Linked DNA regions of Ovis aries. The protein of the gene in region 6 purifies or fractionates together with the protein of the main gene of each other region. This does not show direct contact. Links are inferred from orthologs where the notes say so. Each region holds a gene or a part of one and is shown on either strand. Other genes may lie near its edges.

What was found.
Region 1: the proteins of CCP110 (region 6) and CCNF purify together in Homo sapiens (affinity purification with western blotting; 7 studies listed by BioGRID and IntAct, with this or other methods). This does not show direct contact. The link is inferred for Ovis aries from reciprocal best matches to the Homo sapiens genes CCP110 and CCNF.
Region 2: the proteins of CCP110 (region 6) and CEP97 purify together in Homo sapiens (co-immunoprecipitation; 10 studies listed by BioGRID and IntAct, with this or other methods). This does not show direct contact. The link is inferred for Ovis aries from reciprocal best matches to the Homo sapiens genes CCP110 and CEP97.
Region 3: the proteins of CCP110 (region 6) and NEURL4 purify together in Homo sapiens (affinity purification with western blotting; 4 studies listed by BioGRID and IntAct, with this or other methods). This does not show direct contact. The link is inferred for Ovis aries from reciprocal best matches to the Homo sapiens genes CCP110 and NEURL4.
Region 4: the proteins of CCP110 (region 6) and CEP290 purify together in Homo sapiens (co-immunoprecipitation; 6 studies listed by BioGRID and IntAct, with this or other methods). This does not show direct contact. The link is inferred for Ovis aries from reciprocal best matches to the Homo sapiens genes CCP110 and CEP290.
Region 5: the proteins of CCP110 (region 6) and CEP76 purify together in Homo sapiens (co-immunoprecipitation; 4 studies listed by BioGRID and IntAct, with this or other methods). This does not show direct contact. The link is inferred for Ovis aries from reciprocal best matches to the Homo sapiens genes CCP110 and CEP76.

Annotation. Positions count from the first base shown.
Region 1 is NC_056077.1:2,457,928-2,462,764, forward strand, and holds the start of CCNF (cyclin-F), read left to right. Parts: upstream 1-1,668; 5' UTR 1,669-1,734; coding exon 1,735-1,750; intron 1,751-2,794; coding exon 2,795-2,949; intron 2,950-4,096; coding exon 4,097-4,203; intron 4,204-4,837. UniProt on the Homo sapiens protein: Substrate recognition component of a SCF (SKP1-CUL1-F-box protein) E3 ubiquitin-protein ligase complex which mediates the ubiquitination and subsequent proteasomal degradation of target proteins.
Region 2 is NC_056054.1:166,991,515-166,995,790, reverse strand, and holds part of CEP97 (centrosomal protein of 97 kDa), read right to left. Parts: intron 3,521-4,276; coding exon 3,356-3,520; intron 2,462-3,355; coding exon 2,337-2,461; intron 1,677-2,336; coding exon 899-1,676; intron 1-898. UniProt on the Homo sapiens protein: Acts as a key negative regulator of ciliogenesis in collaboration with CCP110 by capping the mother centriole thereby preventing cilia formation. Required for recruitment of CCP110 to the centrosome.
Region 3 is NC_056064.1:26,921,915-26,926,881, reverse strand, and holds the start of NEURL4 (neuralized-like protein 4), read left to right. Parts: upstream 1-1,590; 5' UTR 1,591-1,596; coding exon 1,597-1,884; intron 1,885-2,809; coding exon 2,810-3,254; intron 3,255-3,291; exon of another isoform or gene 3,292-3,448; coding exon 3,449-3,514; intron 3,515-3,657; coding exon 3,658-3,956; intron 3,957-4,129; coding exon 4,130-4,241; intron 4,242-4,329; coding exon 4,330-4,418; intron 4,419-4,967. Other genes in the region: uncharacterized protein LOC105607811, read right to left, coding at 1-456. UniProt on the Homo sapiens protein: Promotes CCP110 ubiquitination and proteasome-dependent degradation. By counteracting accumulation of CP110, maintains normal centriolar homeostasis and preventing formation of ectopic microtubular organizing centers.
Region 4 is NC_056056.1:124,433,361-124,438,285, forward strand, and holds the start of CEP290 (centrosomal protein of 290 kDa), read right to left. Parts: upstream 3,341-4,925; 5' UTR 3,253-3,340; intron 3,143-3,252; exon of another isoform or gene 2,968-3,142; intron 2,452-2,967; 5' UTR 2,424-2,451; coding exon 2,322-2,423; intron 2,178-2,321; coding exon 2,100-2,177; intron 1-2,099. UniProt on the Homo sapiens protein: Involved in early and late steps in cilia formation. Its association with CCP110 is required for inhibition of primary cilia formation by CCP110.
Region 5 is NC_056076.1:43,547,280-43,551,555, forward strand, and holds part of CEP76 (centrosomal protein of 76 kDa), read right to left. Parts: intron 2,411-4,276; coding exon 2,193-2,410; intron 1,804-2,192; coding exon 1,665-1,803; 3' UTR 1-1,664. UniProt on the Homo sapiens protein: Centrosomal protein involved in regulation of centriole duplication. Required to limit centriole duplication to once per cell cycle by preventing centriole reduplication.
Region 6 is NC_056077.1:17,602,367-17,607,242, forward strand, and holds the start of CCP110 (centriolar coiled-coil protein of 110 kDa), read left to right. Parts: upstream 1-1,492; 5' UTR 1,493-1,931; intron 1,932-3,394; 5' UTR 3,395-3,536; intron 3,537-4,876.

The DNA.
Region 1 (4,837 bases), about 15 Mb from region 6:
AGAAGGGCCCGGGCACACAGCTTCTCTTTCCAGCGTGGTCTCGCTAGACCCTCTCACAAGCCCCGCTGGGCTCCTTTGCAGGTAGCCCTCTCCCTCCCTTCTAAGCCAAGCTCCAGGAAGGAGCGTGATGTCTGCTGTTCCCGGCCCTACTTCCCACCCCCACGTCTGGCTGCACACCCACCCCTCTTTCCTATGACTTCCTGTGACTGCTCAGAGCCAGGGCCTCTGCCTGGAGGAGTCTAGCAAAAAAGTTAACGGGGGGGGGGGGGGGGGGGGGGGGGAGAGGGGGGTGGACAGAAAGTACCAAACAGGAAGCTCTAGCCAGTAGGAACACAGGTGTGTGAGAAAGGCTGAAAGCCTGCAGGCCTGGAGGACCCGCCCCTCGGGTTGGAGCAGGCCCCAGGCTTGCTCTGCTCTACCCACTCCTCTTCTGCACGCACCACCCCCACCTCCTCACCCCTGGAACCTCATAGCCACGCTGTGATCATCTGTTCACTTGTCTCCTACTCCAGACTGGCTTGGAGGCTTGGCACCTTGGGTCCTGTGTGTGTTCAGCTGTTGAGCACAGAACCAGTACCCTGATGGAGTTCAGACAGCAGTGTGAGTGAGGGGTGTGGGCACAGAGCAGTTTGATGCCTTGGGAAGAGTGTAAGAAGAGAGCCTTGACCCAGATTCCCTGGCTTCTCTGGGAAAAACCACTATGTCCTTGGCCATCAAGCACTTCTCCCAGAAGTTGCATTTCTTTCCTTGTCAGAATGTCTCACGGAGGAGGTGGGGTGAGAGCTGGTTCCTGAAAGACAAGGCCGGGTGGGCACTGCCTAATACCTGGGTGAACGGAGTGTTGCAGCCACTAAAGCAAGCAGGCGTGCTCTTCTGTTTTAGTGGGCTCCCAATTGACCGCGAGGAGATGGTGAAGACTGACAAGGCCCAGGTGACACGCTGAGGGTTTGCCCTGGGAGGGATGGAGGGGTCCAGGCTGAGCCGCGTTTCAAGGGAAGGAGTCAGACGCGCTGAATGAATCACCCAGGCCTGTTTCTGCCCTGCGATCTATACCAACAGCGGCACGGACAGAACCAAGGGTCTCCTCGCCTGAAGCAAGGACGGGAGGCAGGGCCTTCGGCCTCAGGGTGCAGGCCACTAAGGTCAGGGGGCAGCCTTGGTGAGGTGCCTCCCGCGGGGGCCCGCTCGCCTGCGTCCACGCAGGTCGAAGACCGCGTCGGGGTCCGCGCTCAGAGACCCCTGGCTCGGAAGCGCTGCCGGTCCGCTCAGACCTTCACTGACAACCCACTGTGCGCCATGGGCTCTGGTCGCCGGGATCTCTGCCGCCGACTCAGCGGCAAGGCCGAATCCCAGAATAGGGCAGGTCAACGCGGCTCGGAGGGAAACCAGGAATTCCACTGCCGACTGCCCCGGAGCCGCGCTCCTTCAGACCCCAGCCAGTGCTTGGGAGGCGGGGCGGCCGCGCAGGTTCCACCAATCAACAGCCGGCGTTCGAATTCGCATCCTGGAGCAGCCAGTCGCGGGCGCCCGATGCCGAGGGGGCGTGGCTCGGGGCGGAGCCCGGTGGGGTAGTGGCGCTCGCCCCCCGTGGTGGGCCAATGGGAACGCCCGGCGCGTTTGAAAACTCAGGCGGGAGGCAGGCGGGTCTGCGCCTGCGTGGGGAGGCGCGCTCTGGGCCCGCGGGCGGGTCTGGCGGCTACAGCGGCGGCGGCGGCCACGGCAGCGACGACGGCTATGGGGAGCGGAGGCGGTGAGCGCGGGGCGCGGGGCGCGGTGGAGTGGCCTCCAGACTGAGTGGGGCCCGCTTGAGCCTTTCAGCCCGGGGTTCGGATCGTCCCGACGGCGCCTACCCGGCGCGCGGTTTAAATACCCAGCGGCGCCCAGCTCCGCGAGAAAGCGGCGCGAGGGGACCACCACCTGTGCAGGGCCGTGAGCGCCGCCGAGGAATTTCCGTGGTTATACCGTGGCTGTCCTAGGGCAAGGGAGTGAGGATAATAGGGCAAAAGGCGAGGATTGGTCGAGCTGCGTATGCGCTCGGCTTTCGCATTAGGTTAATTACTGATGGGAAGCCCGGGTGAGGAACGAGGGGAGAGGGCAGGAAGACGCCCTGAGCAGGGAGCTTGCCCGGTGGTGGAGCAGCCACCTCCCGTGGGGACTGGAGGAAGGAGCGGATGAAGAACCGGGTGAAGCGTCAGGAATGGCACCTTCTGCCACAAGCTCCTCTGCTTGGAGGGAGGAAAGAGTTGCTGGAGCTTAAGTTGGAAGGACCCCCCTGTCAGGGTCTCAGAGGACCCTGAGACCGGCGGGACAGCTCTGACATCCACAGAGCTGGGACTGGCCTGCCCTCCAAGTCCACCCTTGGCTTCTCTGCAGGGTGGACCCTCTGAATTTGAACTGGAAAACCTGATTGTTCAAATCCTTATTAACATTTCATGTTTTAGTCATGTGTGCAAATAGAAGCAAAGAAATCAGCTAGAGTCCAGGCGTCTCCCTGGCTAATCATCATCAACACTGTCTGCTCTTCCTTTCTTCCTCGTTGTTATCTGGGCTCTGGGTCAGACGGTTTCCCAATGGCCAGCTTACATGATTACTACTCACTGTAAACATTTATCGAATAATTTGAATGAATGAAGATGTCTCTTATACCACTACGGCTTCTTTATTTAATCTTTGGGACTGTAACTATGGCTGGGGCAGAGGACCAGTAACTGTTAAAACATGTTCAGATGTAACTTTTCATATCACAGTTCATTTCCAACACATCACTTAAACCATTCTGATTTGTTTTCTTAAGTGATCCACTGTAGGTGTGCCAAGTGTTTCTGTTATCCTTCAAAGCGGAGAATAAGGAGGAGACCTCGAAACCTCACAATCTTGAATCTCCCTGAAGATGCGCTCTTTCATATCCTGAAATGGCTTTCTGTTGGAGATATCCTCGCTGTCCGAGCTGTAAGTTGTCAGATGAACACAGTGTCAACCCTGGCATTGTTGATTTTACCACGAAGGCTTCATGTCTCAAATGTCAGAACAAAAACTCTGGCTACCGATGAGGGTAGATGATCCCCAACGGTGATGTTGGCAAGTAGACGTTTGAGGTTGTTCTGACGACAGGAAAGCAAAAACATAGGACAGCAAGGTTTGAGTCCGCTCTTTGCAGTGTTTATTTTAACAGAGAAAGTACCTTTTCCTGGCAGTGAAATTTGAATCCCTCAAGATACGGGAGAGTGTTAAGAAGAAAAAGAGTATGTTCTTGAAGATGGTGTGAAGTAGAAGTGTTAGTTGTTCAGTTGTGTTCAACTCTGTGACCCCATGGACTGTAGCCCACCAGGCTCCTCTGTCCATGGGATTCTCCAGGCAAGAATACTGGAGTAGGTAGCCATTTCCTTCTCCAGGGGATCGTCCTGACCCAGGGATTGAACCTTGGCCTCCTGTATTGCAGGCAGATTCTTTACTGTCTGAGTCACCAGGGAAGCCCTTATGAGGACAAATCTCATATAATATCCAGTGCTGAAAGGGGCTCTGGGCTTTATTGTGCAGACATCAGAACTGCAGCCTCACCCTGAGCCACTTAACCAAGGGCATCCAGCAAATTAGTGGGGGAACACCCACAAGAACCCATTTGTCTGACTCCCAAACCTGCCTCCATTGTGTTCATAACATCTGCAAGTGCCATTTCCAATGGCAGTGGGAGCTTTTGCACTTAAAATGCTTGCTAGTGCCCCCGTTGACCGCCCAGATTCCAGCTGTGCTCCCACTAGCAAAACAGATTTCTGACCTACCCGTTAGCCCTAGAGTCGGTTTCCCTGGTCGTTGCAAGTATATAGCATTATATCCTGTTTCTCAGCCTGGTGCTTACCCCCACTTCCAGGACCTGTCCCCACCTTTAGAACCACAGAGAAAGTTGTGTCTGATTTCTTTTCTCTGTTCAAAGCAACTGCTAGTTAGTTTGATACACAGAGCCCAGGAGGCCTTACTGGTAGGGTCAGAGGGAGACAGGAGATCCTATGTCTGTCTAACCCTGTCTTCAACAGCTCCAGAAGTGGGCCTTCCCTGTAGTCCCTTGATAACCCCCCACCCCACTCCTGTTGTTCCTCAGGTACATTCCCACCTGAAGTACCTGGTGGACAACCATGCCAGCGTGTGGGCATGCGCCAGCTTCCAGGAGCTGTGGCCTTCTCCGGGGAACCTGAAGCTCTTTGAAAGGTATCTGCACCCAAGAGCAGCCGGGCTTCCTCTCACTCCTGGCCTTCCCTGCCGTGCCAGTCTGTCTCAGGGCTGGACCTGGCCATGGTTTTCCTTCTGCTTGTAGGCCTCTGCCAACACCATATCCCCCAGGGAGTGACTGAGCATATAGACCTCACCCATCGAGTCACATGACTTCTAGCATGGTCATGGGTCATCCGCACCCCCAGCTCAGACCTGCCACTCATTAGTCACAGTGGTGCTTCCGGAAGGTCCGCTTCGGCTGTGACCCATCCCGCGTGGCTCAGATGCAGGTCACCTGCACGTGGAAACTTCTTATTTCCCTTACTTTGGTCAGGACCATGTGGTTTGAATCCTAGTGCATTACATTCCCTGGCTGATCCCACCCCCTCCGACAGACCTGGAGGAAGAGCCAGAGGGGCCAGGAGCCACACAGTGTGCCCGTGGTCACAGGCAGGCTGCCTGAGACAGTCCACGAACCATACAGCCCACCCACTTAGAGTGTACTGATCAAGTGGTTTTTAATATATTCACAGCATTGTGCAATCATCCACACTGTCTGACTTGACCTTCTCATGACCCCTGGCTGAAGCCGCATAACCATTCGCAGTCTGTCCGTATCTTCCCAATAGTA
Region 2 (4,276 bases), on a different chromosome or scaffold from region 6:
CTAGAAGCTGGAACTTGGTCTCTCCAGAAGTTTGCCCTGTGTGTCTTCTTCCTTTGCTGACTGTAATCTATATCCTTTCACTCTAATAAACATAATCATAAAGAATAGCTTTTTTGAGTCAAGAGTCCTTTTTACAAATCAAACCTGGGCATAGTTTTGGGGACCTTCAACACACAGTCACTGCCAGTTGCTGAATCTGGTATACAGTTCTCGGTCCTGTTACAGCACCTCTCTTCTCTCTTGAAACATGGCCCTGCTGGAGCTGGGACACACTCTCTCCCAGTTCTCCTCCCTCTCTGGCTGTCCCTTCTCAGTCCCTTTTACTCTTCCTCCTCTCCCACTTGCTAATCCCAGTAAATACTGACAGGTGCAGTCCTGATACTCAGAATAAATCTATGAAATCCTAATTTCCCTGGGTGACAGTCATGAAAACATGTAAGCCAGAGAATGAACACATAACTTCCACCATAGCCACCAAATTTTAACCCCTTCTAAGTCCCTACTGTTTTCCTTAATTCTTATGTCATCTACTGGGTTCTATGTAGACTTCCTCATCGTCTCACTTTTATACTCATTCAGTTTTTCTATATTTTCTGTATCTTCTGTGTTTAGGTACATAGACGTCCATAAGGCATGCATTTCATCCAACATTTACTGCTATGCTGCATCTATATTCCAATCTCAGCACTAGATACGGAGGCACGTATTGCAGTCCTTGCTCTCAAGCTGCTTTCAGTACAGTGTCAGAGACAAACCTAGAGTGGCAACATGGTATGGAAAGTGTCCCAGACACTAGAGTTTGATTCAGTGTTCTGAATCAAAGCTAAGAATCTGACACCCCCAAACCAACAAAACAGCATCTTCACAGTAAAAGCCTTAAAACGGACTTCTCACCCACCTCCTTATTTCACCAGTTAGGCAGACAATGTGTTCTTGCATCCTGCGAAGACGGATTTCATAGCGCACATCTCTAGCTTGTGGGTTGTAGTTCCTGGCATAAAAGCCCCGCCAACAGGCCTGAAGCTTGGTGGCTGCTTCATTCAGTTTCTGGAGGGCAACTTTATCTTGTCCCAACGGAACAGATTTCTGGGTTAACAGCCTGCAGGGAAGCTTCTCTGAAGCTATTTGAGACCTGGCTTCTTCACTGTCTGGCTGCATATGGAAGACATTGTGTCCAACTGACTCAGGAAAAGATGTAAGACTGTGGGTGTGATCCTTCAAGCCAGCACTGGTGACTGTTGGCTCAGGACAAGCTAACAGTCCATCTTTCTCATTTACCTCTGTACCAACTGCACTTTTTGTCATCTGAACAGAATTCTCATTTGCAGCCCCCAAAGCCTTTTCCTCTTCCTTGTTTGATAAGCTCTGGTTTTCTGGCCCTTTCACAGATTCATCTGCAGCAGCATCATCTTCTAGGCTCAAGTTAATGCCTTGCAGCCTCAGCTCCACTGTAGGTGATACTGGAGAGAGTCCTGATGCAACTGGCATAAAAGTAGACTCTGAAGAGAGGAGACTGCAATTTAACTTGTCCTCATCGGTCTGGATGTCTTCCAGGTGCAGGTCATTTCGAGAATATCTTGCAGTGTGTACAGAGGTTGGAAAGTTATTCTTAACAGCATGTGATTGGTCATCATGACTGCTTATCCCAACCCAAGAATTGACTTGGATGACAGGTTCTAAAAGAATCAACAGAATGTCACTGGAAACATTAAATATTTACGGAGGGATTTTTTTTCAGTTGTATCCCTTTAATGAAATTTAATCCCTCAAATATAGTAAAAGGCAATGAAATTATTTCAGTAATTTCCTCCAAAATGCCTTAAAATATCAAACCAAATATTTTTAAGAAACTAAATTCTTGCAATAATCATAAAAATAATCAAAGTACTAGGTCAAGTCAAAAGGTGGCAGTCCTCTGAATGTTTTCGAAAATTAAGACATTTAATAGTTATAGATGTCTGTGTATATTGTTGTTGAGCCACTAAGTCGTGTTTGACTCTTTTGCGACATGACCCCATGGATTGTACAGCATGCCAAGCTCCTCTGTCCATGAAATTTTCCAGGCAAGAATACTGGAGTGGGTTGCCATTTCCTTCTTTAGGGGATCTTCCTGACCCAGGGGTTGAATCCACATCTCCTGCATTGGCAGGTGGATTCTTTATCACTGAGACAAAAGGGAAGCTGCCATTTGTGTAATATACATATGTAATAAAATAAAAGATCCAAATGTTCACTTGAGCTAACAAGTAAAACATTCTGAAAATATGTACTGTTTCCTGTTTTATGATACCAAATAGATCAAACAAAAAAGGACCGGAGATCAGTTAACTTCTTACCGCTTTCTGGGACTACCTGGCCATCTTGAATGGGGCTGGAATGCTCTGGCACAAATGATGCCCTTGATTCAACAGGAGACGACTCTTCATTGTGGCTCTGGTTCATTAACTGCCTCTGGTGAAATCTAAAATCAGAATACCCTATGTGATTTCACACAAATCAAAAAAAGAAAGCTTCTCTGCTTCCTTCAACAATTCGCCAGGTAACAATGTCAAGAAGGGAGAAGTTTACAAGTTTTCAGAGTACATACCTTTAATGACCTCAAAATTACAAAGTCTCATGGATAGAAAATGTTAAGAAATTTATTTTTAAATCACAGTCAGACACCATCATAAATATACACACACAAACCTTCAAAGACAGGATCTCTGATGAAAGACGTGACTACTAAAAATGCTTCTAGTATATATAACGTTAGTTTTCTTTTTACGTTTTTTCTAAAAGCTTTATTTATTATTTGGTTTTGCCTGCGTTGGGTCTCTGTTGCTGTGCATGGGCTTTCTCCAGCTGTGGTGAGCGGGAGCTACTCTTTGTTCTGGTGTACAGGCTTCTCACTGCCAGTGGCCTCTCTCTTGCAAAGCTCGGGCTCTAGAGCTCGGGCTCAGCAGCTGTGGTGCACAAGCTTAGCTGCTCCACAGCATGCGCCATCTTCCGGGACCAGGAATCGAACCTATGACTCCTGCATTGCCAGGCGGATACTTAACCACTGGACCACCAGGGAAGTCTCTATAATGTTAGTATTTTAAAGCCCATGTAAAACACCCACATTAAAAGAACAAATGAAGTTATTTTAAATCCCAGGCTGCCAGGCTGCTAGGCTCTCCCCACTCAGGAAATGACTAGTAAGCAATGCAGCTACTGGGGAGGAAACCAGATTGCACTGCGTGGTTTGGCTCCTCTGAAAGCCCACTGTGGTGACCAGGGCCCCAGGGGTCCAGAAATGTGGCTGCAGCACTCTCTCCAATCCTGCTAACTCTGCAGGAAAGTTGCATCAGCCGCTACAGATAAATGCGCTCACCTCTGCTTGCTCAGAATCTTCTCTAGCTTGGCATCCTCTGCAGTTTGAAGGCCCAGCGTAGAAGTGAGAGGACAGACTGTAGCCAGATACTGGACAAGCTGGATGTGCTGGCCAGGCCGATACGCTCTCCCCTTGCCTTGACTATATAGCCATTCAGCTTTTAAACTGGAATTGGGGGACAGAAAGAAGGGCTGGCACTGGGGTAGACAAGATACATTTTCAGGCAGTAATGATCTTCCTTCTTAATATGCCTTTCCAGCATCACTAGATGTTTTTCATGAATAACATTTCAGTTAAAAAGAAAAATTATCCTCTGCTTTACTCTCCTTATTCTTGTTATGGTTTAAACATTTTTTCTTGCTTAGGGGCACTTCCAATGATTTGTACTAAATGGTTCCAAATATTTTAAAATTATCTTCAAAGAAGCAATAAGTATTCCCTCCATTCACTGTCAAACTGAAGTACCTAAATACATAAACTGTGTTTAAATTCACTAGTTCATAATGATAGTTTTTTTAAAGCCAACTGGTCACAGTTGAAGGATGCTAGTGAGCTACCATCTCATCATCTTTAAAAACTGATAAAGGGGGAGAATTAAATATTATTAATTCCATTTTTCCTATACAAACTATACCAATGAGTAACCAAATAGTTACTCCACAGAAGTATTCCAGCTTATTTAAAAATGAATTATAGAATTAAAATTTCACCATTTTGCAACTCTCAATGAATTAATGGATTTAGGCACTGACCGTTAACAGCTTCTCATAACATAAGAGACAACCAGATACCATGTGCCTCTCAACAGGACCCAAAAAGCTGTTCTTGACCCCACAAAAATCTGATCAAACCTCCACCTCCAACTACCCATTTACAGAAAACACAAAAGAGGAGAGTATGTCAAAGCACATGGGGACGCAG
Region 3 (4,967 bases), on a different chromosome or scaffold from region 6:
GCTGTTTTTTAGGATGCTCCGGGGCCGGTCCTCACAGGGTCTGTCTTGGCGCATGCAAGTTGACTCGGATATCGTAATGTTTGCCGAGTTGTACAACCCAGACGCCCCGGACCCCGGGTTGAACGTCCCGGATACACTGGTTCCAGGGAAGGGGGGATTAAATCCGTCAGGTTTTGTACGGGACCCAAAGCTGTGGCCCGCGACTTCCCCAGGATGCTGGTTGAGCCCGGTACCGAGGACTGCTGTCCCTCCGGAGGGCTGGCTAGAATCAGGACTGCGAATTATAGTTCCCCCATTGTGCGTGGAGGGCCCAGAACCGTGAAACATGGTTACTCCGGAGAGCAACCCGGCGCCTGACTCGACTCCTCCGATGCCTCCTGGCACCCCCCTGATACCCCCACCAGGGGATTCTCCATTGAGGCCGCCAGCAGCCCCCACACTTTCCTGCTTCTCCATGGCCCCACTAGGGGGCCACTCTCAGCTACCTCGCCCCGCCTCCCTGCTCCACATAGCCCCGCCCCAGGCCCCGCCCCCACTGCGGCTGGAGAGGGACGCTTGGGCGAGGCCTGGGTCCCCTCCCCCACCGCTCCCTGGAGCAGTGGGGGGCGGAATCAAAACTGTTTAGGGACCTCCGACTGGAAGCCTCTCAGGTTGCCCCTCCCTTTCTGTCCCACCCTAAAACCTTTCTTTGTCTTTGGGATTTGTTCCCGCCCTTCTCCCCCATCACCCTTATCCGAATTATCCAATCATAGTCATGGTCCCGGACGCCGTGCGAGAAACCTAATTGTGACGTCACACACAGTCCAACTGAAGCGTGAGCATCTAGGGAGTCTTGCTGGGGGGTTGTTGATAGCTCTGGGGGTGGCTGTCTTTGAGGGCTGTCAGCGTCGTTGCCTGAAACTACCTGCCAGGGTTCCTTTGGACTCTTTATTCGTGGCTTTAAAACCTAAGTTTGGTTGAACTAGAGTTCAAGATGGGCTTGTCTAGAAACATCGCGAACTCTTTTCGCCCCAAAATCCAGCCCGCTCTGTTTCTGCGGAGAAGTGGAGGGATTGCGACACTGTCGAAAGACATATCCGGTCTCAAGTGGTACGGAGTGTGACCCTCTTTATTTACAAAGCTACCTCTATGTGCTCAGGGCCCGCTCACACCGCTTCCGGGCGCTTGGAGCGAAGGAAAGCCCCCTGCCTCCTCCTGCCGTAAAGCGAATACTTCAAAGTGTTGCCTGTCCTCGACGAAGGCAGGGTCGTCGGTGTCGCAAAGCTGAAAGTGTTTGGGCACTACCCCTAAGTCGTAAAAGTGCCTGTGGCAGTCGTTTCTTCCACTGTCGCAAAAGCTCCCGGCCCGTCTTCGCCCCTCTGGAGCCACTCCGTCACCTCGCCCGTGCCGTAAAGCAAACCTGCCCGACTCTGTCGTCCTTTCTCTTCCCACCGTAGTAGTCCTTAGTTCCTTACTCCGGGATGCTTTATTGCCCGGCACTGCCGTAAAGCATATCTGGCCCCAGCCCCCGAGTCCTATTCCCCCAGGGCGTCTGTGCACCGCGGTTGCCACGGTGCCGCCAAGCGCGGCTGTCGCGCGGCCCCGGTGTCAGCGGCGATGGCGGCGGGGTCGGGTGGGAATGGGGGCTCCGGGGGAGGCCCCGGGCCGGGGCCGGGTGGGGGTGGGGGTGGTGGCCCCGGCGGGAGCGGCCCAGGGCCGGGGTCCGGCGGGGGTCTGGGCAGCGGCGGGGAGCTGCACCCGCGCACCGGGCGCTTGGTGAGCTTGTCGGCCTGTGGGCGTACAGCGCGGCGGCAGCAGCCAGGCCAGGAGTTTAACCACGGGCTGGTGTTGAGTCGGGAACCCTTGCGCGATGGACGCGTCTTCACCGTCCGCATCGACCGCAAGGTGCGGAGCTGGGGCCGCGGAAGCGAGATGTGGAGGGTGGTGGGAGGGGACCAGAAGGCGATGGGGGAGGACAGCTAGGGTAGCCCACATTACCGGATACCGAGAGGGAACCGCTAGCCAGAACACCAGGTGATGAGCAGGAAGGGAGCATGAAGCGGAAACATTAAGTCACAAAAATAGGAGGCAAGGAGAGCTTGATTTTTGTCAAGACTCAGGAGCATGGAAGGGACACGGGGCCCCACCCACTATAATGATTAAAGAACAATCCTCCTGGGATAATTTCTGGGAGACGGAGGATGGAGAGATGTCAGATATGTGATGGAAGGAGAAGAAAGATAACCAAGAAAAGAACAACCACTGAAGGACAAAAGCACACCGATAGGGACAGAAAGATGGGTGAGGAGAGATACTCAAAGCAAGAGATGTGTATGCCTGTGCGGTGATGCAGCGGAAATGCCAGGTGCACAGAGGTAGAATTTGGGAAGAGAGTGAGTTTGAGTGCAGCCAGAGCCTAGGAGAGAGGCCCAGAGAGAAAGAGCGAGCAATATACCAGCGAGTATGGAGAGCTGTGAATTTGACTGGTTGAGGAGCTACAGAGACCAGAGCAATTAGAGATGGCAGGAGCCTGGAGCCAGGGAATTTAACCAGCTTGGTGAGCCAGCGTGGGAAGAGCATGGGATCATAGACAGCGTGCACCCAGAGTACAGAAGAGAGTTGCTAACGGAGAGCAAGTCTAATCATTCCCTGAGACCAGAGTCCAGATAATACTTTGTGGGACTGGATCTCTGGATTGGGGATGTCTTGTATCTCAAGAGAGTAAAGCCCAGTTAGCTAAGAGGTGGGAAGAGGGGGACACAGTGGCCTATGAAGTGTGGGAGACCCATTCGTAGCCCACCCTGAGCCACTGTCCACTGCCCCATCACAGGTCAACTCCTGGAGTGGCTCCATTGAGATTGGGGTGACGGCACTGGACCCCAATGTGCTGGACTTCCCAAGCAGCGCCACAGGGCTGAAGGGAGGCTCGTGGGTAGTGTCGGGCTGCTCGGTGCTGAGGGATGGACGGTCTGTGCTGGAGGAGTATGGGCAGGACCTCGACCAGCTTGGCGAAGGGGACCGTGTGGGTGTGGAGCGCACGGCTGCCGGGGAGCTGCGGCTCTGGGTGAACGGGCGGGATTGCGGCGTGGCTGCCACGGGCCTTCCGGCTCGTGTCTGGGCCGTCGTGGACCTTTACGGCAAGTGCACCCAGATCACTGTGCTCCCCCCTGAGCCGGGCTTCAGCCCCCCTACTCCCAGCCCCACACCTCCCCTTGATCCCTCCGCCCCCCCTGAAGATTCTGCCTTGGCTGAACAAGGGACCTCTGGGGATGAAGGTGAGAATGAAGTTAGGGCAGTGGTGGGGGGACGGGGCAGACAGAATGGCTGAAGGAACGGGGGCGGGCAAGGCAATGACAAGTGAGGCTGGGTGTGGGCTGGGAGAACAGGGGCTAGTGGAGGGGTCTCCTGGCTGTGGTCCCTGCAGCAGGGGCTGAACCCTTATTCCCCTCCCATCCCACCTGGTCCCCAGCCTTCATGGTATCCCCAGCGCAGGCCCGACCGGAGACGTTTCCTAACAGCCTTGAGTCGCATAATGGTGAGGGTTCCTGGGAGGCCTGGGAAGGGGAGCGGGACATGAGGTGGACAGGGGGGGACCTCAGGAGAGGGGTAGGGAGAGCTTGGTGAGCCTGAGACTGAGAATACTCATTTCTGCTCCCTTCCTGTGTCCTGCTGTTGCAGACTTTGCCAGCATGGAGCTCTCCGAGGTGGTGAGCAATGCCATCCTGTCTGCGTACAACGGGGGGCTCCTGAATGTGAACCTGAGCTCCCCCCCAGCAGAGGAAGCACCAGGGCCTAGCGGTGCTGCCACCTCACCCATTGTCACCTCCAACGATGCTCTCCTTTTCCATGAGAAGTGTGGAACCCTCATCAAGCTCAGCAACAACAATAAGACTGCTGAGCGCCGCCGGCCCCTGGATGAATTCAACAACGGGGTTGTCATGACCAACCGCCCACTCCGGGACAATGAGATGTTTGAGGTGTGCAAGGTGTTGGGGCCTGGCCAGCGTCTCACCCTCTGGGAGCTAGAGATGGGGCTCAATCCCCAATGCTAGCAAAGGGTGGAGGTGGCCTAGGGAAGCTCAAAGGGCGGAGAGACTTTTTTCTCTGAGTTTACATTTCCCCTCTCCCTTCCACTGTCATTCCACCCAAGATCCGCATCGATAAGCTCGTAGATAAGTGGTCAGGCTCCATTGAGATTGGTGTCACCACCCACAACCCCAACAATCTGGAGTACCCAGCCACCATGACCAACCTGCAGTCAGGTACCAGCCCCTGGCATGGTGGGGGCGTGGCCTTTGGTCACTGAGGTGCAGGGAGCCCATACCCTAACCAAAATGTCTGCTTTCCCAGGCACCATCATGATGAGTGGCTGTGGGATCCTGACCAATGGCAAGGGCACCCGCCGGGAGTACTGTGAATTCAGCCTGGATGAGCTGCAGGTGAGGGTGGACACAGTGCCGGCCTCTCTCCAGGGGCACCCCTGTATATACCGAGCAGTCCTCCCTGGGCCCCATATTCTCTGATCTGGAGCAAGGCCCTTTATCTTTTGTCTGAAGGGTCCTTCTGAGAAGGGCTTCCCTGGTGGCTCAAATGATAGTCTGCCTGCAAAGCAGGAGACCTGGGTTTGATCCCTGGTTTGGGAAGATCCCCTGGAGATGGGAACGGATACCTGCTCCAGTATTCTGGCCTGGAGAATTCCATGGACAGAGGAGCCTGGCAGGCTACAGTCCGTGGGGTCACAAAGAGTTGGACACAAATGATTGACTTTCACTTTTCCTTCTGAGAAGGCAGGGTTGCCCAACTGTTAAGCACTCAGATTTTGCAGTCAGATGGGTTGCATTCTTCTTTCAATTTGGCCTTTGGTGGTGGTGACCTGTGGCCAGAAGCTCATCTTTTTGGGTAGTTTTTTTTCCTTAATGTCTGAAAATGAGCCTGTTAGTACTATTTGATAGAGTGCCGTGAAGGTTGAGCTGGTGTTGATAAGATAG
Region 4 (4,925 bases), on a different chromosome or scaffold from region 6:
ACATCAGAATATAAGCACTAAAAATAAGAATTTAGTTTTATTTACTGTCCTACTACTTAGGGCCTGCAGTGCCTGGCACAAGGAGACATTCTGCAAATATCTGCTGAATGAATAGGTGAATTTCTTACTTAAGGCTATAATTTCTAGATTCCTAGAAGTTTGAAACATCTTTGATTCCTCTTTTTCCTTCAAGTCTGAAATCAAGCTTTGCAACTTTCCCTTCGTAATGTTTTCAGCTATCTCTTTTTTCTATTTTAATTTTCATTACTCTAGCCCATAATTTTATGTCTAACTTCTTACATAATGTTATGTCTAAACTGCTTCAATTCTCTTTAATGTGTTGTTTAATATAACTAATTTAACCTTCTGAAGGCAACTGTATAGCTCAAAAACCTTTAACAGCTTCTAACTGTTGAGCGTAAGATATACCTTTAAGGCCCTGGACAGTTTATTCCAAACCATATCCAACATCTGTTTCTTCTACAACCTGCTGTAAACTTTCTGCACTTGTCTCCTCAAATGTAAAGAATATGCATATTTCCTATCCCCAGTTTTTATTTACGGTAACTTTCAGCTCTAGAGGGCTTCCCTTGTGGCTCAGCTGGTAAAGAATCCACCTGCAATGCAGGAGACCTGGGTTCAATCCCTGGGTTGGGAAGATTCCCTGGAGAAGGGAAAGGCGACCCACTCCAGTATTCTGGCCTGGAGAATCCCATGAACTGTATAGTCCACGGGGTTGCAAAGATTCAGACAGGACCGAGTGACTTTCACCTTCACTTTTCACTTTCAGCTCTAGAGGGCTTCCCAGATGGCACTAACCTGCCTGCCAATGTAGGAGGCGTGAAAGATACGAGTCAGGAAGATCCTTTGGAGGAGATCAGGGCAACCCACTCCAGTATTCTTGCCTGGAAAATCCCATGCACAGAGGAGCCTGGCAGGCTACAGTCCATAGGATTACAAAAGGAGCCTGGCAGACTACAGTCCACAGGGTTACAAAGAGTCGGACATGACTAAAGTGACTTAGTACATATGCATACCAGCGCTAGAAGCTCGTTAACACTTTACCACTGCCTCCACTTACCTAAAACTACTCAACAGTCTTTGACCTTTATAAGGTATGAAAGTGAGTGATCATCGATCAGTCGTGTCTGACTCTTTGAGACTCCATGGACTATATAGCCCACGGGATTCTCCAGTATTCTGGAGTGGGTAGCTGTTCCCTTTTCCAGGGGATCTTCCCAACCCAGGGATTGAACCCAGGTCTTCTGCATTACAGGCAGATTCTTTACCTGCTGAGCCACAGCAAAGCTCTTAAAACATATCATTTCAGTTCAGTGGGTCAGTTGTGTCCAACTCTTTGCAACCCCATGAATCACAGCATGCCAGGCCTCCCTGTCCATCACCAACTCCCAGAGTTTACCCAAATTCATATCCATTGAGTCGGTGATGCCATCCAGCCATCTCATCTCCTGTCGTCCCATTCTCCTCCTGCCCCCAATTACTCCCAGCATGTAAAAGGTATTCTCACATCTAAATCTCTTCCTCTCCTAACAAATCCCTGCAGTGGTTGGCTACTCTAACAAATTATAACATAATTAACATAAAACAGGCTTCCCTGATAGCTAAGTTGATAAAGAATCTGCCTGCAATGCAGGAAACCCTGGTTCGACTCCTGGGTTGGGAAGATCCGCTGGAAAAGGGATAGGCTACCCACTCCAGTATTCTTGGGCTTCCCTTGTGGCTCAGCTGGTAAAGAACTGCCTACCATGAGGGAGACCTGGGTTCAATCCCTGGGTTGGGAAGATTCCCTGGAGAAGGGAAAGGCTACTCATTCTAGTATTCTGGCCTGGAGAATTCCATAGACTATATAGTCCATGGGGTCACAAAGAGTCAGACACAACTGAGCAACTTTCACTCACTAATGTAAGACATCCCTATGCTTTTTAAAACACAACTGTTCTGCTTCCCCTACACATTCTTTTAGGAACTTTAGCTGTCATTTAGATTTTACAAAGTGCTTTAGAGATTAACTTATCTAAGCAGAGATTCTTAAGCTTTCTCTAATAGTCAAAGCTACTAGTAAAGTACTGCATACAAACCTTCATTAATGATTGAGTAATTCTAAAAAGGTGTATCATATTTTCTTGACTTTCACTTTTTAGCTCATTTACTTCCACCTAAGTAAAGAGAAAAGCAACAATTTCATATTTTATAATCCTTAAACAAAATATAATAATTCTTTCAGTTGTTACCATTCAGTGATTTCAAGGACAATTTAATCATAGTTGTATATATGTATCTATGCTTTATCAATTAAGTACCTTGGATAAGGAAATTAATAAATTATCTGCCAATTCTTCTTGACGAGGCAGCTCATCTGGGTCAACCTTTCTTATTTCTTTCCAGTTTATATTAGGTGGCATCTTGAATTCTTTCAATGTGCTTTACCTTCTGTAATAAAACAAGTGGGTATTAGCATTTACAAGGTAAGTAGCATTACTGTCTTTACAGTAATTTAAAGTTGTTACAGATCACATTGTTACAACTCTCTACGGAGTTTGCAAAAAGTTATTGCTTCTCAATTGTGTAACAGATACGTCGATTAAATAGCCTGAATGAAAAGTACAGCAGTTGCAAAAAATCATCAGATATTTTATAGGTCAAATAATTACGAAGGCTTCCATGCTTAAACTATAAGTCAGAACTAAGATTCTGAGTCCCGCTCCTCCACGACCCCTTACCACCTCGAACACCTAATGGTGCCAAGTGCGGGGGTGCTTGAAAGGCTGAAGTTGAGCCCCGATTCGGAGAAACAAAAACTAGGATTTAAGAAAAAAAAAAAAAGTGAGGAAATATACGACTGAAACGAGTGCAGTTGGGCCTGGGAAATCAGGGCTGCAGCGAAAGGCAAGCAAACCGATTGCGGACAGGAGGCTAAGGAACGGGGAAACTGAGCTGTTGTCTTACCTGGGCCCCGAAGGTTAAAGAACCTGTGTGGGAAGAGACTCGGTTTGCGCTCACCAGGATCCACCTACCTACACCAAACCTGGCAACCAGCGGCGGCCGCTCAGCTACCGTACCCACTCGGCCCGGCCCAGCCGCCAAACCTGACCGCTCTCCAGCGCCCTTCCTATCGGACACTGGATCCCGCCTACTGGTCCGGAGCGAGTAATAGCGACAGCGGCTGCTAGGCGACACCATTCCCCACCCCGCCGAGGCCGCAACAAGAGCCCGGATGCTAGCGATGCCTACATTTCACGACCGTGGATGATGCTTTACGTTCAGATTCCCGCGCGAGTTCCCTGCACTGTGTGTTATGGACGAAGTGAAGGCGTGAGGTGAGGACTCCAAATCCCAAAATGCAGTTCTGCTGGGAGGCCGGGACTTTTGGACGATGAAGTCTCTGAGAAGTGGAGGTAGGCCGTTCCCGGCGTGCAGTGCGGGAGGCTGCGGCGGTACCGGGGTGCGGGGGGACCGCGGTGCGGGGGGACCGCACGGAGGCGGGAGGCGCTGCGGCCGAGGCGTGTCTGCGCTGGTGACCTGAAAGAGGCCGAACATGACTGTGCCTTCGGTGGCGTCGCTCGCCGGACCGCTCTTCCCGAGGTTTCTCTAAGTCAACCCCGGGTGGAACTGCTCCCAGGTGAGGTCGGGCTATTGGTTAGTGGCGGGGAGGAGGTAACGGGAGCGGTCCCGGGTGAGAGAAGCTCCTGCCTTTGGGGCCGAGGGGCCCGGCCAGAGTCTGAAGAGGTGGGAAGACGCCGCCCTCTCCTTGGGCGTTCGCTGGCGACGCCCTGGGTGGTGCCCTCTGTAAAAAGGCAGAAGTCTTAGCTTCTTCGATTTCATAGTCTGTCTCCGTACAGTGGAGTGGGGGCCGCGAGCTTGGCAGGGGGCGAGTGAGAATTTGGGAAGAGGACACTGCATCCTCCGACCTCGGCCGCCTTACCTGTAGCCCCATTATCTTCGCGGGTTGACGGACTAGAAGATTGAGCGAAGGTTCCAGAGAGGAGAGGTTAGAACTTGCCCAGGCCCCTGCTAGGAGATAGAAAGGGAAGGCTGCTCTGTACTCACCAGCCCTGGTGCTGTCACTTGCTTGGTGACCAAGGGTGGTTTTCCCTGACAACTGCCTTAAACGCTTGCAGCTTTTCTTTGTGCAAGTTTTGCCCATCGGGCTGCTCTCAACTATTCTGGAATGTGATACACCGCTAGGAAAACTTTCTTAAGCTGTAGACTTGAAAGCTAAATATATTTTCAACTGTTTGGACCAGTGCATCCATCTTTTTAAAATTTGAAGCACTTTCTTTCATTTGCTAACTATAATTGATACCGAAGTTTACTTTTGAAAATTTCTTTCCAAACCGTTCAGTAGAAAATAACATAATTTTGTGATCCACTTAGAGACATTCATCGGCTTTGTAGAATAGTGATCATTTTGTCTGGTCCTTGACTGGAAGATGGTATACCAAACACTGTTCATTAACCCTTTTTTGACTATGCCGTATGTCCCCATAAATTATCTTATAAATGAAAGTTTGTACCTGTTGACAAATCTGTTCTTTGTTTCTGTCAGTTTGCTTTTTTTAGAGTCCACATATAAAGGAGATCACAGTTGTTTTTCTTTCTCTCTCTGACGTTTCACTTAGCATAATGCCATCATGTTCCATCCATGTTGTCATGAGGTCATAAATGGAAAGATTTCTTTGTGTGTCTGAGTCATATTGCCTTGTGTGTCCATTCTATTCATACATGTTCTTTATCCTTTCATCCATGCATTTATGCTTAGGTTGTTTCCATGGGTTGGCTATTATAAGTAACGCTGAATGAATATCTCTTCAAAAGAGTGATTTAGTTTTCTTCAAATATATACCCAGAAGTGGAACTGCTGGATAGTATGGTAGTTCTGTTTTTAAGTTTTTGAGAAACCTGTA
Region 5 (4,276 bases), on a different chromosome or scaffold from region 6:
TTTAAAGGAAAATATTAATTCATGCCAGGCTCTATTAAAGTGCGTAAAAAGGAAATTTATTTTAGAATTTACACCAAAGGCGCATTACAAGTACATGTGTTACTCTGGCACAGTAATGCAGGAAGCTCAGCCTCAAAGAAAACACAGCCATGATCTCATGTATCAGTCTGCCTCCTAGTACATGCCTCACAAATAGTTTGTTCCAAAAGCTGAAAATTACAAGCCATTTTTCCTGTTGATAGCTTTGCAAGTAACTCTGGTAACAGACCAAAAAGTCTTAATTCTTATCTTGCTGATTCTCTAAAGTCATGTCAGTCTCAAGAAACTTCTGATTTCTGGTCATTTTCAATAAAAATTGGTATGAGAGATTATTTTCAGACTTTTAAAACAAGTTATATCATAAATAATTACATATGTAAAAATTAAAAAGTAAATTTTAGAGTATCTTTAGATTTTAATTTCTAAAATATCATTTTATTTGCCATGTTGAATTAGCAATGAAAAGCATAACTTGCACAGCCACTTGGTATAGTCACTTTCATAAGAAGCCCAGTGGTTGCAGGAAAGAATGAGAGCTGTACAGAGAGGTGGGTGGATGGCAAGGCAATCCCATCAGGCAGCTTCTCACAAAGTTTAAACCACTACAGCCTCTTCAAAGTGCACTGTTCTCAACTTAAAAACAAACATCAGCATGGAGGCACTCACAGATGCTCGTTTTTCAGTGGCCTCACATGATGATTCTCTGATTTACATTCACCACATACACATGGATGCTTTTATCATAAAGAGAAAAGAAAGAAACAAAAACTGTGATTTCAAAAGATAAACTCCACGAGAGGCTAGTAAAGAATGCTGTGACCACAGAAAATCAGCAACAGACTGCCAATATCAATTATAGAAAACAATTTTCAACATACAACTAAAGGGTATAATAAATTTTTTCTAAAATAATTCAAAAATAAATAAGCAAAAAAAATAATAAAATACACAATTCACTTTTACAATGAATCAAACTAACAAATACTTATAAATTATTTGTATACTTTCATGTGTGGTTTGTTACTAATAATAATGCTTTTCTGGTATGAGTTTTTTCTCTGCTCCTGCACCCATGTCTTCCCATAACTCTCTAGAGAGTCACAAATATCCCTGTAGTTATGAGTAAACCACGAAAGTGGTAAATTCATCAAAATGCATTTCATCTATGTAATAAATAAATGTTGTGAAGTTAATTTCTCCTAATTTATATAAAATAATCCCATTACTCTATGAAAAATAATGATCGTATTAACTTCACTATGGCTCAAATCCTTAGGCAAATAACTTTCTGATTACCTGTTAATGCAAAGAAAACTAAGTAAATTTTATTTTCATATTTAAACTACTGACTACTTATAAGCAAAGTAGTATTTATTAAAATAAGATAAACACTTAATTTATACTACCATCCTCTCAAATTTATACAAGTTTTTCATCCTTAATTTTTAAACACACATCATGATACTTTTCAAACATTATTAGTGAGGCTTATATAAAAGTTAAATATGACATCGAAGCCAGATTGTGATTTTTAAAGTAATGAACCTCAAAACACCTAGTATTATTATCAACACAATGTGTAAAATTCTAATAAAACACAGGTATAGTCTTATAGAAACTTAGTCCTATAGTACTGAGCGATATTTACAAGCAAACATGATCCAAACAGCACAAGCAGATTCAGGGTAAGTAAACACGCGGACACGAACTGCCAGGCGCACCTGGTCTCCACGGCAACAGATGATTTCTTCACAGAAAGGAGACCTTAGAAGAGAGAAAATGGATTCAATTAAGAAATGAATTTAGGTTTTACTTTATTTCCAAGAAAGTCGGGTATTGAAAATGATTTTTAAAAATCCTGTCTCTGTTATCAAGGACTCTGCAACTGTGGTAAAACTATTCAAATTATAAACTATTTCCTCATAGCCAATTAAGTTTTTTAAATTACACTAGACAAGATCAGTGATCCTTGGCAGAAAAACGACCCTGAGCTCTCCAGAGCTACACTCTGGCCCTAATGAATCAGAGTCTGAGGCAAGAGGACAGGTCACTACAGAAGCTCCCTGTGTGACTCTGAAGTCATTCCTAAATTAGTGCCAAGTGTTCACTGAAATTATGTTAAAAACACCAAGACATCATAAATTCCACCTTACCGAAGACATGTGGCAAACGCGCGCCTCGCATTTCTATACACAAAGTGTATTGGGAACCCTTTAAATGTGTGGCCATCAGGCACAGCCCTTCTGATAGCATCCTGAAACTCTTCATTGCCCGCAGATATGCTTGTTGTACGCTCAAATTCATAAGACGCCAGAGCTGGTGACAAGAGATAAGAAAGCTGGTCTTCCCAGACAGTAGTGAGGCCAAGGTCCTACAGCAATTGAAATGGAAAAAGCAAAATACAATATTTAAAGAAACTAATTATAATGTTGATTATTTTAATGTATGCCAAGAAAAGATTTTTAAAATCTGTCATAATTTTCTTAACTTCCTATTAATTATTATAAGGATACAAAGAAGTAAAAATCATAAAAGGAAAAACAGGTATCAGGTTTTACTTCTTAGAGAAATAACAAAAGGCAGCCAATGCAATGATGTTAGTGAAGGCTGCAAATGCTGAACTCCCTTAATATCCACAAGGAAAGACCATAAGGAATTGTCCTACTGAGGAAGACAACATGTCAAGGAATTCTGAGGTCAAATTTTATTTAACTTTAAAGACTTTCACAAGATTGAATCTGCTTAACCTGATTACTCCCACTATCAACTGAACTGTAGTTGGGGAGAAATGTCAACAAATTGCACATATAATTAAACTCAAATATTTACTGAGCATTTATTCTGTAAAAGACACCAAAAAGCAGAAGCTACAGGCCCTCTGGGAGCTTAAGACATGCTGAAGGCAATTATAATTTCACTATGACATCAAATGAACCATTGCTACCTTGACATGTAATTTTTTTAATGCTACAAACTAAAAATTCTAAATATTTTGATTATTATAACAGATCTAATCTCACATTCTGTTATAACTGGTTTCAAGTAGGGATCACTTATCTTCTTCCTGTGACTCTTACCTGTGGGCTTATAGACACCATTAACTTAGCAAGCAACCATCTATGGCATCCAGCTCAGCTTTGTTCTCTTTTTTCTAAACAAGTAGTTCTTATAATGTATTAAAATGTCAGTTTCACAACCTAGATGTCCATCAGCAGATGAATGGATAAGAAAGCTGTGGTACATATACACAATGGAGTATTACTCAGCCGTTAAAAAGAATACATTTGAATCAGTTCTGATGAGATGGATGAAACTGGAGCCAATTATACAAAGTGAAGTAAGCCAGAAAGAAAAACACCAATACAGTATACTAACACATATATATGGAATTTAGAAAGATGGCAATGACGACCCTGTATGCAAGACAGCAAAAAAGACGCAGATGTGTAGAGCGGACTTTTGGACTCAGAGGGAAAGGGAGAGGGTGGGATGATTTGGGAGAATGGCATTGAAACATGTATACTATCATGTAAGAATCAAATCGCCAGTCTATGTCCGATGCAGGACACAGCATGCTTGGGGCTGGTGCACGGGGATGACCCAGAGAGATATTATGGGGAGGGAGGTGGGAGGGGGGTTCATGTTTGGGAATGCATGTATACCCGTGGTGGATTCATGTCAATGTATGGCAAAACCAATACAGTATTATAAAGTAAAATAAAGTAAAAATAAAATAAAATAAAAATAATAAAAAATAAAATGTCAGTTTCATTTTCAAACAGGAGCTAAGAAAGTAAAAGGCAATACAAGCAATGGAGGTAGGAGATGGAGCCCCGGCCCAACTACTGCTGGAAACACACTACAAGTGCCATATTCAATACTTCCCAAAACACACTCCTCAACACCCTGAGAAGTTGGCAAGTAGGTAAGAAGATTTCAGAGGCTAAAGCTAAGATGAACTGGGAGCCCAGAGAACACAGCTGATAACTCAAGAGTGTCGCTGATGGTCTCAAGGAACATGAGAATCAGGGCTCACCCAAGGAGGGGAGTATTAGGGAATCCCAAAAGGTGAATTAGAAATCAACCTTCTGTGGAAGTTCTGGACTCTAGCCTTTGGTTGATTGTATGCGTGGCAAGCAACTTTTACCACTCCAAGGCTGCTTTTTCACTCTTAATGATTTCTTCTGATGAAAGTAAGTTATTAACATACACTAATCTTTTCCATTATGATCAGTGC
Region 6 (4,876 bases):
CAAAAGGAGAAGGGGGCAGCAGATGAGATGTTTAGATATGCATCACCAATTCAATGAACATGAATCTGAGCAAACTCTGGGAGATGGTGAAGGACTGAGGATCCTGGTGTGCTGCAGTTCATGGGGCTGCAAAGAGTTGGGCATGATTCAAGGACTGAACAACAACAAAACAGTAGAGCAGGTATAATCAGATTGTAAAGCTGGAAGGGATTTCAGTAATGCCCTCATTTGATAGATGAAGAAGCTGAGGCCAGGAGAAGTGAAGTGAAATGAGCTGATAATGGCAGAGTCGGGACTAACATCATGCTACCCAGTTTTATGCCATGAAATTTCTACTGCTACTCCTCTTAACCTTACTTCTTCTCCTACTAAGGTCTAATGATGGGGGTTCTGTACAAGGAACTGCAAGAATTATCTCAAGTATTCCTTACAACTACTCTTGTGATAGGCACATTTAAATCTCTCATTTTATACACGAGAAAATTGGCATGGGAAAGAGGGTAAGAGAGGCAGAAAGTAAGGCCAGTTTAGGAAAGGGGCTAGCTGTTAAGTCATATTTTGAAAATGCCAACAAAAATTGGCAGTTGCCATTTGCCTCTGTAAGGGTTAAATTATTAGCCACTGCAGCCACTGACCTTCAACATATCCTGAAAGGAGTTCAGGGTGGAGATCAGGAATGAGGTACTTTGTCCTCTGGGAAAAATTGGGTATTTTCAGAAGATTTTATGAGCCCAATTCTTACATCTCCTCCTATCTAGAAAAGCACTAAAATCATTAATGGTGGTATCAGCTCCTCATGGCCAGCGGAAGCCTCTGGCAAAACGTGTGCTTGACTTCACATATCCCTTTCCGCTAAAATCGTACTGACCTCTCTTCCTGCCTCTCTGGGGGCAGTTTCTCAGAACTATCTGAATTGCTGTCTCCTGAGTAATAGTCCTCATTTTTGTCCCAAATAAAACTTAACCTACAACTCTTGTGGTATTTTTTTTTAAGTTGACAGAAAACTGGCAATATGTTTGGACAGAGAACTTTGGCAAAACATTCTGAGCTTTTCCTGCCATTCTTAACCTGCTGCCTTCGTTTCTTGGAGGTATTTTCCCTGTGATTTGCAAGAGTAGGCAAGTGTTGAAGCTTCAAGTTGTGGCATCTAGGATTCAATCATTTTTTTTTTTTAAGAGAGAAAAAAAATTTGGTGCCTACTGTATGTATTCCAACGATTGTACAGAAAGAAGTTATCTCTTTACAGATAAGTGAAAAATAGCAGCTTCAAGGAGCATTTCTCGAGGCTTCAGCTCCTAACGAAAGAAAATTTGAGAGCGGTCAGTGAGGACTACGCTTCCCGGCGTGCACCGCGCCTTCCGTAAGAACAACGCCTTCCATCGCTGGGCCGGGACGCGTAAACCAGGCGCGCACAGCAACTCGGGGATTGTAGTTTTCTGAAGGCCCAACCGGGCCAACGGACCCGGAAGCAGCCACCGGAAGTTCTGGCCCTAAGAGGTGGAGTCCGGAGGTGGGGGTGCGGCGGCGGCGGCGGCGGCGGCGGTGGCGGCGGCGGTTGCCAGGAGCCCGCGTTGCCGCCAGAGTACCGTAATATGGCGGGGAGGAGAAGGAGAAGGCGGCGGCGAACGGAGTTGTTTTCAGTCAGTACCAATTGAGCAGTTTGCTTCCTACCAAGGCCAGGAGCTAGGGGAGGAAACCTGCCGGGACCGTGGGAGAACAGGTGTGTGCCTAAGAGTGGGCTTGACTCAGCGGGTCTCGGCTGCGAGGCCGCAGGGCGGGCGGAATTGGCGCGCTGAGGAGCTGAAAGAAACCCGAGCGCAGGGGCTTCCGGACGTCGAGCCCCTGGAAAGACTCAGGCTGTGTGGAGGCGGGTGCCCCGGGGGCCTGCGGCATCGGTCGCGGAGGTGATGTTCAGATGCTGGCACCGCCTGGTGGGTCCTCGGGATGGAGCTTTATCAGAGGAGCTGGGGAAGGTGGACTTGGGGCGCTGGGGAGACGGCAGAGGGTCCCCAGTAAATAAAATCAGACCAAAACTGGGGAACCATCTCCTGTTGATAGAACTGGTTGGGCCATTTTTTTTTTTTTTTTCCTGGCAAGGGGAGCGTCCCAGGGTGTGCACTGGCCATTTCTGAATGCCAGTTATCACCAGCTAAAGGGCCTAGGCGCATTCTTCATCCTGCGTTTGTGACTCTCTGGGGGCGCAAGGAGAAGGATAAAAAAGCAAATTATCTTTATTGGCCCTCATGCTACTAGGTGGTTTCCACCCTTTGCTTCTACCTGGTTATAACCCCAGTTCCCTGCTCCCAATTTAAGCAATGGCAGGCACCTAGAGTTTGACTTAATGAACGCAGCAAAATGAGGAAGCTGAGGTCCCCCTTTCCACGTTTTTTTTAAAAAATTTTATTTAGTTTTTAATTGAAGGATAAATGCTTTACAGAATTTTGTTGTTTTCTGTCAAACCTCAACATGAATCAGCCATAGGTATACATATGTCCCCTCCCTCTTCAACCTCCACGTTTTTAAGTTAAATTTGAATCTTACCAGAAACTAAAGCACTGTCACTGGCCTCTAGGAATTCATAAACTAGTGGAAAAAATAGTCGTCATCATTCTCTTCCTAATGAAAGTTACTCCCATTCGTTGCTTTCTGCATGTCCTATTAATGAATCCACACAGAATCTCATCAAAGCAAATACTATGATTATACCTATTTTACAGGAAACGAGGGATAGATATGGTAAGTGAATTGCCAAGAACATTCAGCTCCTGTGTGCCTGAAAAAGAAAGCTTCCCCTTTTTTTTTTTGCCCCTTTGAAAAGACTGATGGGTAAACAAGTAGCTAGGATGTGTAAACAGGACATGTTCTGTGTTCTTTCGTGATTCCCTTCAGTGACTTTTCTGATGGAGCACTGAGGAGGAGCAGGTAGCAGAGTTGTGAGTCTATGGGGTTTGCAAAGAGGCTCATTTGGAGAAGGATCCTAGTTTAAGTGGAGAAGACAGGCCATGTCTGAACTTGATGCAGCCAACAAATTATTAATTCAAGTGGACCAGTAATACCTAGTGGTAAAGTATGGGGCAGTAGATTTGTGGTTGCAGTGGCCTTGTAATCAATGCTCCCTTAAAATAAAACCCTGTTAACAGAGGTAATTGTGGCATGAGAAATGGAGTTCCCTGTTGCTTAATTACATAGGATTCCGGCTCTCGATTTTTAAATGGTTGCCTTTGCAGTTTAGAGGTACCATTTTCTCTGGGAATAGTGTCATCAATGAAAGTCCTATTCTCTAAATTCCATTCTTCCTTGCTAGCTTCTTTGCAGTGTAGTCTACTGTCTTCTTTTTTCTGATTTACTTTATTATTTGAGCTAACTATTCTGTTTATTCAACATTTTTATGAAGTGCCTCCTGTGTACAGACTTTGTCCTATGTAATGGGGATTCAGTGGTGAGCAAGACTGAGAAGGTACCTGTGCTTATGGAGATTACATTTTGGTGGAGGAAGACAGACAAAACCCAAGGAAATAAGATAATTTCAGATAGGGGTAAGTGTTATGAAACTTGGGAAACAGCAGGATAGTGTGATAGTGAATGACACAGGGTTCATGCTATAGAGTCACTTGGTTATTTTCATAATCATGATATTATCATAGGCCATAAGTTATGCGGTAATAATAATATATTGCTGTATGTCTGCAGTGTGTATGGCAAACATATACTGTTTAAGGGATGTGAATTTAACTTTCTGAAGCAATGAGGCATATTTATATGATGTTGAAAGAAATATAAAGCTATTACCATAAAGATATTTTATTTCCTTAAATTTCCCAGACCTTCCATGCTTTGCTTGTGTATCCATTGGAAGTATATTACATTAATTGTATGAGTAATCTATTTTTGTTTCTTGTAATGCTGGATGTGTGGGTTGTGTTAAAAATTCTTTTGAAGCATTTTAGTAGAGAGGGGATCATTTAATTTTCTCTTATATCTTAGCTTCTGCCTATTCTAATTTTTAATATATAATGTGGGTTGAAGCCTAGACTAAATGAGGCCTGCTTTGGTTATCATGCAGTAAGCTGTTTTGTATTTTATTTTCTTGTTTTATGAATTTAAGTTTGCAAGATAATCTCATTTATACGCTAGAGAACCATTTCTTTGAAATTAAGTTCTCAATTTGCATAAATGAAAATAGAAATAATTAGAATTGGTGGGATGGTAGGAAGAAGTTTTGCTATTAATAAGACTACCAGAAAAAAAAAAAGGACTACCAGTTTGTCAAAAGTAGCAATAGATCTTATTTTCTCATAATGTAATCATAGTTTCATGTGTGATTTTCCTTCATTTCCATTTGTGCTATTGTTTGTCCTGGATACATTAGAGTACTAAATTTTTAAGTACCTTGAGGCTTAGGGCAGTATCATATTGTATCTTATTTCATCTTTGCATATCCCACGTCATGAATTGAATTTCACTTCCCTGTCTCTTTTTTTTTGTTGTTAATTAATTGTTTTAAAATGAACACTTAAAGGAATATTATCGTATTAGTTTTTCAGTTTTCACAATTCATATCCTTGTTGGTTATGAGTCCAGTGATAGCTCTTTCCCTTTCCCTTGCTTATTTAAAGGAAACAATGCCAGACATAATACTGTGAAAACAGGCAATCAAATATTTAACACATGCTGGATGAATGAATTGGTAGCTAATCCTTCCTGGTTACCTTATATTTTCGTAGCCACCATCACAGTTTTCCAGAAATTGTGAAATTACTGGACTGATTGTTGTAAGTAGTTTGGTGATGGTTCCATTTTTCAACTGTAAAGCAGAATTAATATGAGGGCCGATAGATTCTGTTTTTCACTTCTGATTTGGCCAGTTATCATGGAG